Oryzias latipes: one gene and its partners. The protein of the gene in region 2 interacts with the protein of the main gene of each other region in a pairwise test. Links are inferred from orthologs where the notes say so. Each region holds a gene or a part of one and is shown on either strand. Other genes may lie near its edges.

What was found.
Region 1: the proteins of trim59 (region 2) and nrm interact in binary tests that used the Homo sapiens proteins (3 or more experiments, as listed by UniProt). The two-hybrid records come from large-scale screens. The link is inferred for Oryzias latipes from reciprocal best matches to the Homo sapiens genes TRIM59 and NRM.
Region 3: the proteins of trim59 (region 2) and zdhhc22 interact in binary tests that used the Homo sapiens proteins (3 or more experiments, as listed by UniProt). The link is inferred for Oryzias latipes from reciprocal best matches to the Homo sapiens genes TRIM59 and ZDHHC22.

The regions. Positions count from the first base shown.
Region 1 is NC_019869.2:5,698,199-5,702,324, reverse strand, and holds the start of nrm (nurim), read left to right. Parts: upstream 1-1,210; 5' UTR 1,211-1,265; coding exon 1,266-1,416; intron 1,417-1,597; exon of another isoform or gene 1,598-1,670; intron 1,671-1,799; coding exon 1,800-1,993; intron 1,994-2,649; coding exon 2,650-2,826; intron 2,827-3,035; coding exon 3,036-3,347; 3' UTR 3,348-4,126.
Region 2 is NC_019871.2:13,509,642-13,513,705, forward strand, and holds the start of trim59 (tripartite motif-containing protein 59), read right to left. Parts: upstream 2,801-4,064; 5' UTR 946-2,800; coding exon 691-945; intron 619-690; coding exon 400-618; intron 167-399; coding exon 1-166. UniProt on the Homo sapiens protein: E3 ubiquitin ligase involved in different processes such as development and immune response. Serves as a negative regulator for innate immune signaling pathways by suppressing RLR-induced activation of IRF3/7 and NF-kappa-B via interaction with adapter ECSIT.
Region 3 is NC_019880.2:13,011,887-13,016,095, reverse strand, and holds the start of zdhhc22 (palmitoyltransferase ZDHHC22), read left to right. Parts: upstream 1-1,343; 5' UTR 1,344-1,463; intron 1,464-3,093; 5' UTR 3,094-3,095; coding exon 3,096-3,651; intron 3,652-3,732; coding exon 3,733-4,007; 3' UTR 4,008-4,209. UniProt on the Homo sapiens protein: Palmitoyltransferase that could catalyze the addition of palmitate onto various protein substrates and be involved in a variety of cellular processes. Catalyzes the palmitoylation of KCNMA1, regulating localization of KCNMA1 to the plasma membrane.

The DNA of each region.
Region 1 (4,126 bases), on a different chromosome or scaffold from region 2:
ATCTGAGATTTTTATATGAGAGAAAAAAATATGAATCAATATTAAATCAGACGTCGTCTCATGTTTCTATGGTCTCCTGAAAATCCCCTCCCCTTCTCGCATAAACTGAGTCTGTGTGCAATCATCTCAAGATGGAGCAGATGAACCTCTGCTCTACCTCTTTTTTCATCTGCATTTCCTCCACAAAAGCTTCACAAACTGTGAGGACAAACCTTGAAGAAGACCCAAGCTGACACCAGAACACGTTTATGATCAGCTGGACAGCTACTTGAATTACACCTACTTCCCGTTTCACGTGAAATTGTTCAGGTAAAAACACAGATGTGGCCTAAAATAACCAATGTCTCCCACAGTGATCAACCTACACATGGAAAAAATGGAAATCAATCTAGATGCGGTTCCTTGGAGATGCACCAACACTGGATCCGACATATGGATGTCACATGGGTCAAAACCCAGGAAGTGGAAGAAATTACCTCCCACATCCATCCAGTGGACAGAAACATCAGGTTCACTGACAAAGACATGAGTTTATCCTTGTTGTAAATATCATATTAAAGACCATAAAAACTGGATAGAGTGGATGTGATGTCACCCATAGAAAACAACTGTCTTCCGGTTCCAAACCGGTAGCCGTTACTGATCCAGTAGCAATTCAGTTGCCTTTTTTTTGCGATCTGAATGCCACCATGTTGGAAGCAGAAATCGTCAATAAACAGCGGTTGGTCCGAGTCTACAACATTTCTATGGCAAGCGCTCTCTCCAGTCAGGAGTGAGCATGTTAGAAGACCTCATGCCTTCCACTGAAAGCAGACCCGTGAGAATCTGTCAATCAAACATTGAGGGCATTTGATGCAGACCACATACTTTTATTGAGGCATCTGATTGGTCAGTTGATAACTTGAATAACTTCAACAACAGAAAATTATCATGAAAAAAGAGGATTATCAATAACTGAGTTATAGATGTTTATTTCTCCATAGACATCTGTGGGTTTTTGGCTTCTTGGAGCTGCTTCCTGTTTGGAACAGAAGGGGGAAGGAGTCACTCAGTCCATTTCTCATATACAGTCAAATAAAGTTTAAATCGTTGACTGTATATGAAAAATGGACTGAGTGACTCCTCCACCCTCCTGTCTAAATTTTAGACGTAAAGTGAGCTTGCAAACAATACACGGGGAAACAGTGCCCCCACGTGTCCATTTCAGGTACTGTCAAAGAAACTCTTCCGGAACTGTTGTGAAATGAACATTAACGCTTTTGGAAATGGCGGTAGTCACTCTTCGTTGCTGGGCTCTGTGCACAGCGTCTCTGCTAAACTCGCTATTTGTCTTCATATCAGGCGCAGACTTCATTCGCTTTGTATCGTTTCGAGCCATTTACCACAACATCACCGGAGAGACGCCGTTCTGTCAGGGTAAGTTGACGCAGGTATAGCGGCCAGCCAATAGAAGTTGAAGTCACTGTAGTGTAGGAGTGATTCGTTGTTTTCATAAATATTAAGTCATTCAATAAACTCTTGTTATCTAACATGAAAACGAGTGACTCATTCGGCGGACCCCAGTATCAAATTCTGCTGGGATGCGAGTCTGCACGCCGCCCGGCTAGCTCAGTCGGTAGAGCATGAGACTCTTAATCTCAGGGTCGTGGGTTCGAGCCCCACGTTGGGCGAAATATGTTTTTACTTTTTTCTCTCTCTAAGTACTCATTTATTTATAAGAAAGCATTTAATGAAACTTCTGATGTATTATGTATTTAAAAAATAACATTTAAAGTGTTTTACATCTGTTGTTTCTCCAGACACCATACCATGGTCGGTGGCTCTTTCTGATGGCTCAGTCCTGAGGTCTCTCATTGTGGATCTGTGCCTGATGGCTCTCTTCATCACACAGCACAGTCTGCTTGCCTGGTCTCCGGTCAAGCAGGCTTTGCAGTCAGTGCTGGGGCCCCTGAACCGGACTGCATACTGCTTCACCACGGCCCTGGCCCTGCAGGTGTGTGGCCCCCGTGACCTTTTTCATGTGCCGCAGCATCATCATGTCCCGCTGCAGTCCTGGACTGAAGGACCAGTAAAATTTGCACGACTAATGTGGGCGTGGTAAACTAAAAACCTCCGTTGCCAAGGAAATACAAAAATTTACTTTAGCTAATTCTTCAAAAAATTACATAGACTTGTTCGTCACCCCCAGATAACTACAAGACGAAATGGTTGCTAAGGAGATAAACTAACAGAAAAGCCGCTTTTTGAAAAACTTTTTTTTTTCATGAATTTGTCACATGCAGCTCTGACCAGGGTGGCAGGGGCAGAAGGGGGGAGTGAGGAATATGAAGCAGTCGTTCAGCAGCTGAGGGCGGGTCAGGGGGGGCAGTGATGGCAGGGTTGGGTGAAATGAAATGAATGAGTGAATGAATGAATCTTTTTGTGCTGTTTTGGGTCTTTTTAAAGTTTTCTGTCATTTTAAGATGTGACCTTTTCTGTGTTTACTTTGCCACTAAAACCCTTTATATTGTCTCAGGTTCTTTAGTCTTTTTATAAATGTTTTGACTCTTTATTTTCTTTAAAAATTGAACAAACTCACCTTTTAATGCTTTTTAAATGTATTCATGTTGATTGACTTTGATTGACTTTTTTTTTTTTTGGCATTTTCAGGTTTTGATACGCCTCTGGCAGCCTGTGACCAGCGCCCCCTGCCTGTGGTCAGTCCGGGACCCCCCCTGGAGTGTCTGGTTCCCCCTGCTCTGCTTCATACTGCACTTCCTGTGCTGGGCCATCATCTGCAGCATCCTCATGATTTTTGATTATCCAGAACTTCTGGGCATCAAGCAGGTTTGAAACCTGTTTCTTTTTTCTTATTTTAGGCATTTTAGATGGTTTCATACATTTCTGGTGGAAAAAAAATCTATACATTTTGTTTTTAATTAGTATTTTAAGGTTTGTATTTGTTACCAAGTGAAACTAATACTGTTTGCAGAAATATTTCATATTTTAAAACGGGTAAATAGATGTAAAGTTTTCTCTCTACTCTCCTGTCTCAGGTGTATTACGATTGTCTGAGCTTGGGGGACCCCCTGTTGCATAAAGCCTCTGGAGCGCGGCGCCTCCTGTCCCACTACCGCCACCCGGTGTGCGTGGAGCTGGCTGTGGTGCTGTGGCTCCTGCCCTCCTTATCTTTGGACCGGCTGCTGTTAGCAGGGACGCTGTCGGCGTACCTGGCTGCGGCGCATTCTCTGGACAAACACGACTTGGCTTATGTCTGCGGGCAGATGAGCAGCAGGATGCAGATCTTTGCAGAGCCGCATGGCAGCGGTGCAGCCGAGCGCGAAGACGGCAACTATAAGGAGAAGTGAGGTCAAAGTCAAAGCTGACGTTGGGATTCACTTTGACCTTTAGGGGAACCACTTTTTGACCCTTTATCACTAACTTTTTACACAAACTTTTTACATTTTTTTAACAACATTTCAAACTAAAGTTGAAAGTACAGAAAATTAGGGCCACAATACAAGAAAATAATTAAATGTATTTTATGATAAAGTCGTAAAATGATAATAGAGAAATATCAAAATTGTACAAGAACAAAGTAATATATTTATGCTTTTGCAAAAGAGCCAGGCTTTTTTAGTTAATAAAATGTTATACTTAGCCTTTAAAAGGCTTCAACCAAGACAATTGAACATTACACCTTTTTAATTTATGATTCAGGACGTCATTCTGTTTAAGGATCTCGCTGAATCTGCTTTACTTTTTTGCAATTGTACAGCTTTATTTTAATGAAATTACATCTTTAATTTTGGAAAAAAAAGTGCCCTATAGTTGTAAAATGACAACTTTTGAAATCATAAATTTACTACTTTAATGTAAAAATTGGACTGTTTTACTCATAATTCTTCAACTGTATTCTCTTTTTTTTATGGCGACTGATACTTAGTTGTAAAAGCAAACATAACAAACACAAAATAAACTTTTTTCATTTAAATTGTTTCTGTTAGTGAACAAAGATGCCTTTTTGTTAAAATCTTTCAAATGTGTTTCAATATGGTGACATTTTTAAATGTTTTTCTAATCTGTTACACTTTTTTATCTGAATTCAAGCAGAACATGAGGTTTTGAGGTTTCTGAGGTTTTTGTT
Region 2 (4,064 bases):
ACACCTCAGCAGCAGCTTTGTCCAGAACCTCCAGGTAAGCCTCTTTCTTTTTGGCCATTACCAACGCCAGGGAGTGAAAAAACTGGGTCACGTCGTCCCGGTCCTGTCTCAGCAAACCCTCGCATCGGGTTTTTTCCTGCTCCAGCTGCTCCCCCAGCTCACAAACCTTAAAATTCACACAACCGCACGTTCAAACTGTCTCTATTCTAGCTTTTGTTATGAAAAAATCCAAAATGCTGATGAATTTCTGACTGACAGGTTCGCGCGGGAGCCTGTCAGTCAGAAATTCATCAGCATTTTGGATTATTTCAAGCTTTTTCCCCAAAATGTTGAATGTTTTGGATACATTTTGCCATAATCTTGCAGATCTAACCACTCCGCCATGAAAGCCCCGCCCACCTCAGCCCATCTGTGCTCGGAGAGCTCGGCCAGCTGCTGGGGAGTGGCCTTCTCCCTGGCGAAAGCGGCCTGCAGGTCGTCTATGGGGTGGCCGTGGTGCTGCCCGACGGTCAGACACAGCCCGCAGATCAGCTGGCGATCCTGGATGCAGTACATGTTGAGGGGCTGTCTGGGGTGCTCCTGGCAGGACGGGGGGCGTGGCTCCTCATCTCGCTGGTACTTATAGCCCCCAAAACAGAAAAAGAACGTTAAAATTGAAACGTCCCACCGAGGCACAAAACTCCTCCACACCTTTTCAATGATGGCCCGCAGGGAGACGTTGCTGGGCAGGGCGTCCACGCCCGCCGGGGGCAGCTCCACCACGCTGCGACAGTTGGGGCATTTGATTGGTAGGCGGAGCGGGCGCCATATGGAATAGTTGGTGGACACCTGCAGCAGGTTCTCCAGGCAAGGTTGGCAGAAGGTGTGCGAGCACGGGAGGACCCGCGGGTCGGAGAACAACTGGTAGCACACCGAGCAGGTCAGGTCCTCCTCCAGGCTGTCCATGACAGAGACGGGAGGCCTGGATTAGGACTGCAGGCCTGGAAGGGAAGTCTGGAAAGTCAGGAGAACGGAAAGAAAACAGCGCATCGCACAACGGAAATAAAGCATCAAAGCAAACATATGATTAATTCTTTTATTTTGAAGCACCATGACACTTTTTATGTCATCGGATTATCTGAAAATAAAATAAAAATAAAGTATTTTAGACCATCAAGAAGGGTAATGCAATAAAGACTTTTTAGTCCCTTTACTTGTAAAAATTGAAACTCATTCAACCAAAAATTTTTAAATAATTCTGGTTGATTTCTTACTGACCACTATCAAGCAGGAGCCACAAGGTCTTACTTCATTCACCCTTTGGAAAAATAAGACACAGGTTTGTATTTATGTTGTCATTATGATAAATAGAAAAGAACACAAAACACAGAGGAAATAGCCGTTTCTTTGAGTTAACTTTAAACAGAGGTTCCCAATACTTTCTTTCAAAATAAAAGCCTCCATGTACTATAAGGATCATCTCAATGCAGCTAATTTAGTCGTAGGTAGTGTCATGTCAGCAGTAAATTATTTATTCCAGTACTGCTTACTGACCTCCAATTGATTTTTTTTTAATATGTGGCGCTCAAAAATCTGTCCATACGTTAGTTTGACTTGTGATACGTACTGTCCTTCAACTGTTTATCAATGAGTTGAACTAGAGGCTCTAGAGCTGCTGGTTCTAAACCACTGATCTAGACTTTCTAAAATGCCTTCAGTCCAATTTCAATAAAACAACATACAAACTACAGGGAATTGTTTTTCATTTTGGGCTGGACAGTTAAAATCTCCAGGAAATTCCTAAAATAAAGGAATATATTTATTTTAATCTAAACAAGCGCAATCTGAGAAATATAAATGATGAAGACCCAAATGAGAAGGTAAAAAGAGCAGCGAGAAAAATATGTATTGAAATGTAAATCTTATCATAACCCATTCGATTAATTTGTCAGCCATTATCAGTCATTACTCAAAGAGAAATAATTAAAAAAAAAAACATTGACTAGATGGAGCTCAATCCTTCAAAAGGGAAATGTGAGAGCTCTACTATTTATTTGCTAAATGAAATTGAATGTCTTGTTTCTAAAGGTTTGGCCTCTGAGCTTTTCTGCTGGCTCTCATCATCGTGTTGTGTGGGGATCAGGAGGACCGTCTCTGCTCCTGTTACAGCCGCCAGAGCAGGAACAATAGCGGCCTCGATGCCAGCTGCCACCCCGTCCCAGCACCTCAGTCCGGACAGTCTGCTCAACATGATCCGTGCGTGGAAACTGGGACAAAGTTGGCGCCGCGGTTCAAATGGACGTGAACACGTCGTGCCTAGCTTTACTTTTAGCTCATTTTAAAAACACTAGTCTAGCATCAGGAATGTTTGTGCTCGCAATTACCAAAACAAGTTCAAATCCTTTTAACTTAGCACTGCTAGCAAAGCTATCATGTTACTTCAGTGTCAGCTCGGAAATGTTTTTTGTCTTGTTCGCCTGTTAGATGTGATGGCGTAAACAATGTTTTCGTAAGGAAATTATTTGTTTCAGACTCACCGTCACTTCAGAAGGAAAGTGTCCGTCTGAGCTTCCCTTTTCCTGTTCCTACCGGTGCTGCCTTCAGGGACACTTAGAATAAATCCCTCCTAAATACAAGCTGCGGATAGAGACACGGAAGCACGCGTAATTTTAGCAGCACAAACCTATGCAAAAATTATTTAAAATACGAAATATACTAAAAATATTTCTGATTTTGGGTACATCTTACTTTTGGAAGTACAAACAACAGAAGATAAACAATTTTTTGACAGTTTCCAAATGCACCACGAAACTGCGCATGCGAACAAACTGTCTCTCTGGCCAATCAGCAGGCGCCGTCACCGATTTGAACCGAACTTCAGACGCAGGCGCCTCTCCACCAACAGAGCACACACACGCAGTCACTCAGGGTTTCACCATTTATTTTCTTGAAGATAACCCATCCTGCAGCCTTTCCCAAAAAACTTGTTCTCAGGCAAAGCCGCATTTTATTTTTTTCCTTCAATAGTTTTAGATTTGAAACCACGTTTGCTAACAAGGAATGCTGCAAAACCAAATGAAAAAAAAGGAAGGAAAAAAAACTATGTTTAAACAGAAGGATCGTGAGCACAATGTGTAATCATCACTACAGTGTATCAAGGTAACAAAAACTGAAAAGGGGGGGGTAAGCTTGTACACCTAGCTGGTAAGAGGAAGAAAGAGGGGGACTGCAGGGTACTCATGTTACAGCAAATTTGTTTGCCAGTTTATATATTATTTAGGGAAACCCACAAAGAACAACTCCAGTCTGCATTTGGGACACCACAAGAAAAAGGACTTTTGAGTCCCTCTTTAATTGATATACATTAGCAGATTAATTCCTGCTGCTCCTGAAATAAAGTTAATGTTCTCTCAAGTATCACGAAAAGGGATCGATGGATCTGTCTAGAAAAATCAAAAGCCGGGGTTGCGCCGCATAATCCGGAGAACGTTTGCAGGTAAACCCCAGAAAGATTTCAGGCCTCACTTTGCAGAATGATGTGCAAAACCATACAGATTATTTTGCAAACTGGACACTAGCATAGACTAAGGGAAGGGTAAACATGTAACATCTAAGCACAGTTTTACTTAAAAATGAAAAATTACACTGTTACCACAGTCTAAGGAAACTAAAATACCCTAAAAAGAACTGTGCTATAGTTTAGTACATGCAAAGGTTATGATTAACAATCCTATGTGACAAGGCTGTTGTTCTATTCTCCCTCGGTGATAATCAAAGCTATGGCAACAATACTGCAAGCTGTGATTTTTGCTGTAAAACTTAAATGATAAAAAGAGGAAGTTACAGGAGGAACAGATCGTTTGGTTGATTAGGGTTTATGGTGTCAGAATTTCAGAGCCCAAAGTCCGGTGCTTCAGGTTCTGGTGGAGAGGTGTAATACAATCGTCATCAAGTCACTGTTACAGAAGCAGTGAAACTAAAAGCTGAAACGGAAAATATAAACATAAAGGAAACACACTGGAGGCAGAAAGAAAAGCCCAAAAGCATCTTAATTCAATGCACTGCTGCTCCACATTGCCTTTAAC
Region 3 (4,209 bases), on a different chromosome or scaffold from region 2:
ATGTGTTTTTTTATAATACATTTAAAAAGTGCTTAATCATGATGCAAAATTGCTGGACAGAATACCACTTGCTCCTACAGGTCAGCTGCATAACTTTCAGAATTTAACATGACAAGCTCACATGAGGAGAATGAGGGGTAACTGATGCCCAGTCATAAACAGAAATGTTTTATCCAAAATTAAATTCCCCTCAAATTATTCCCTTATTGAACCCTCTATTTTGAAATAATTCACAACATTTTAACACTGAGGGCTTTATTTAAGACAGGAGCATTCCCTTTTAGCCTCCAAAAATAGAAATATTGATATAATCAGAAAAAAAAGCCTGACTTAGTTACACACAATTTTTACTCAGACACTGTAGGTTCAACAAGGGCTTGTGGTTATTTTTGTTGTACTTTTAAAAAAAAATCTAAATAACAACATTACTGAATGTGAATAAACCTGTAACAACTGTATTTTTTAATGTAAAAACCAAAAATGCAAACATTAACCAATTAACATTAACAGACACCACAGTAGTTTAATATCACCTTATGTATCAGTGAAACTGCTTTTGTGTTGTTTTGTATTGCACTAAAAAAAATTTGGGGGGGATTTTTTAGAATTTTACATATCAATTTGCTCTTCATAATTACTGCATTTATATTCCAGAATATTGTTATAATTCAATATCTTTGTTGTTGTTGCTTTAGGATACCAAAATGCAGATTTTGTTTGTTCCCTTTTGTGTTATTTGTATTTAAAACAAAAAAAATCAAAAAGTATTTCTAAATATTTTAAATAGAGAGGGTAATTAAATTGATTTCTTTTTTGTGCAAACTATGACGGCAGGGGGCAACTTTGTAACCATGGAGATTCAGCTCCTGTGAAGTAACCACCTAGAGATGATCATGAAATAATAAGTTAGGATTTGTTGCCCTCTACTGAAGCATTCCCCTTTTCAGAAACCATCCTTCCGATAGAACACTTTTTTTTTACATACAGCAAGGAAATGTAATCACACTACTGATGACAGTATTCTGGTTTCCCACATTTATACTTCCTTTAGAACAAGATGTTACTGTTTATTTTATTATTATTATTGCCTAAAAAGGCATTTCAAACTCAAGTTCTAAGACATCAAGGTGTAATATAATATAATATAATATAATATAATATAATATAATATAATATAATATAATATAATATAATATAATATACTGAATGACATTTTTGTTTCTTCATCTGTTTTACCCATATAACAAATGCATTTATTTTAAAAATGCTTTACAGCGATCTGTTTCTTTTCTGTGCATGCGCACCCGCACCGACAGATGGCGGTAAAGAAGTTTGTGAAGACTTTGAGGATGAACACCGTCAGCGTGGCTCCGAGAAATCTGTTTTTGTCTGCGTGAGGGAGACAGCAGCAGGAAGCTTCGTGGTGCTGAAAGAACAGCTCCTTAACAGCTGGACATCTTCAGGTAGGAAGAGGCGCCATCCAGGAGACATAAGTTAGGGCGACATATGGGTTGGGGGGTCAGCATCTTTAACTGGAAGAATTTCCTACTCATGTTGAAAACAAAGAAAAGAGATCCAGCTACTATTTCTTGAATTCAAGCTATTTTGTTTTGCCACGTGCGTGAGGAACTCCAAGTGATCATGTTTTTTGTGTGGAAGCAAACGCAGGCATCAGGTTTATTCTGAGGAACTTGATAGTCACCATACGATTTGATTGTTTCTTACTCCTGCAGGTTAGGAGACCACCAGGAGACTGATAGAGTATTCTTGGAATTCTCAGTGGCCCCAAAGACCCACATTTACACAGAAATGAGTTCTTCTTATGATTATAGTCTTATTACTCCTACAGCTGCATGAAAATTACCTCGATATGGGTGTTTTAATGAAATAGGAAATCTAAATATGATATTTATTTCTTAAAAAAAAGTCTTTGAAGTATTATACATTTTAGCACAGTGTAACAGTTTATAGTAACTCCAAAAGGTTCAGTTCAATTTAATTGTATTTATATAGCCCAATATTAAAACAATACTTGTCTCACTGGGCTTTATATTGGTAACTGTAAGAACATGAAATCAGTCATAAAATAAAATAGGTAATTGTTAAACTAAACTAAACAGACTAAGCTAAACTGGGCACCCCTGCCCTTAGACCAGGGGTGCCTAAATCCATGACTCGAGGGCCGGTGTCCTACATGTTTTCCAACCATCCTGCTATTGAAGCACCTATTGGCTAAACACACCTGATCCAGGTAATCAACAGGAGACAAGGCGAGTTTCTGGAAAAGTAGCAGGAGGCTGGCCCTTGAGGCCTGGATTTGGGTATCCATGCCTTAGAGCCTCCTTCTCGATAAGGAAAAACTCCTAAAAAATGGATTCTGGGAAAAAAAGAAAAAACCTCAGGGATGCCCGCATGAAGGAGGGATCCTCCCCCAGGATGCACAGGCGATGTACCAGATTTAACTTATCTAACTCTTCAACTACTTGTTTGGATAGTCTAGCAGATGGGCTTCAAAGATCTATTGGATTGTTTTTGACAATCCTTTTATTCTCTATCCATCACCATGCTAACTTGATTACTTTATCCTAAGAAGAATCACAAGGGTTTTTAAAGCTTATTCTACCTTTTTGAAGGTGAGGGCAGGGATGAGAAGCCTTGACCAGGGCCACTGATATCCACATTCACCCATGAGGGGTGAAGTCCCAGAATAAGCTATGAAACTTCAAAGGAGGCTGGAGCGTACAGGAAAACATATAGTACATGCAAAGGGGAAAATAGACAATCTTTACAGAAAGGACCTATCTGGGAATAACACCAGAAACCTTACATCTTTGAGTAGCAGGGCTAACTACCACACCATTGTGCAACCTTTCGCTTATTTGGACGTGCATTACAATAAAAAACAAATCAAATTTGTAAATTCTACTTTAATTAGACAACATGGGCTTTAAGTTAGATTATGTCTGTAATTTTTTGCATTTGTTAATAAAAATAATTGTTTGCCTTGCGACACATACACAAGTTTAATCTAACAAATTGCTGTTGGATCCTCTCCACTTCTGATCAAACCTGTTTTCCGTCTTTGTCCCACAGAGATGTTCACCCGAATGTTAAAACTGAGACTGCTCAACGCCGTGGCACCTGTGTATTTCTTCATGGCAACAGCAGTTACCAACATCCTACATTTCTTCTTCTTCATCCCGACTATATTCCCTTACCCAGAAACCTCCCTGATGGTGTCATCCACTCTCCATACAGTGCTTGTGCTCTTCTTGATGTTCAACGCACTGGGGAACTACATTATGACTATCATATATCCTGCTGAAAGTGCCAACGAGACTTTGATCCCTGTGTGCTCCCCACACTGCTCAGACAAAGTGGATGCTCACTACCTTCTGAACGGCCGGCACTTCTGCAAACTGTGCAAGAAGATCATCCTTAAGAGGGACCACCACTGTTTTTTCACCGGGAACTGCATCGGCAACAAAAACATGCGTTACTTCCTGATGTTCTGCATCTACACGTCATGCACGTGTTTGTACTCTTTGGTTCTGGGTGTCGCGTTTTTGACAGTGGAGTACTCCATCTCTTTTGAGAACCCCCTGACCTTTCTTACTCTCCTCCCCCTCTCGGTCTGCTCCTTCTTCATGGGTGAGTCTTGAAAAAAGAATGCTAACACAAAGATAATTGTTGCCACACTTCTAGCCCTAACTCTGCCCCCTCCTTGTACAGGAACCATCTCAGGATTGCAGCTGTTCCTGGTGCTGATGCTGTATGTGTGGCTGGGCATCGGCCTGGTGTGCGCCGGTTTCTGCTCCCAGCAGATGCTGCTGGTGGCTCGGGGACAGACTTGGTGTCAGATGCAGAGAGGCGAGCTGGTGAGGAACTGCAGCAACTGGAGAGCCAACTTGAAGCACGTCTTTGGCACGCGCTGGATCCTCGGACTCATCCTGCCTGTGCAAACGGAGGAGTGCTCTGAAGATGCTGATGGACAAAAACAAGACTAAGGATCGGGATAGGTCAAAAAACTTAAAGGACCGATTAGAACTCTTTTGATGATGGGATGCTCTATGTTTAAAGTTATCCCTGAAATAACTAATGGCACATATTCAGTTTAGGAAAGGAGCCATAGGAGCTAAGACCTTTCTCTTTAAAAAGCAAGTATCAACATTTAATCTTTAGCTTCCGTTTCAATTCTAAAGTTTTTGC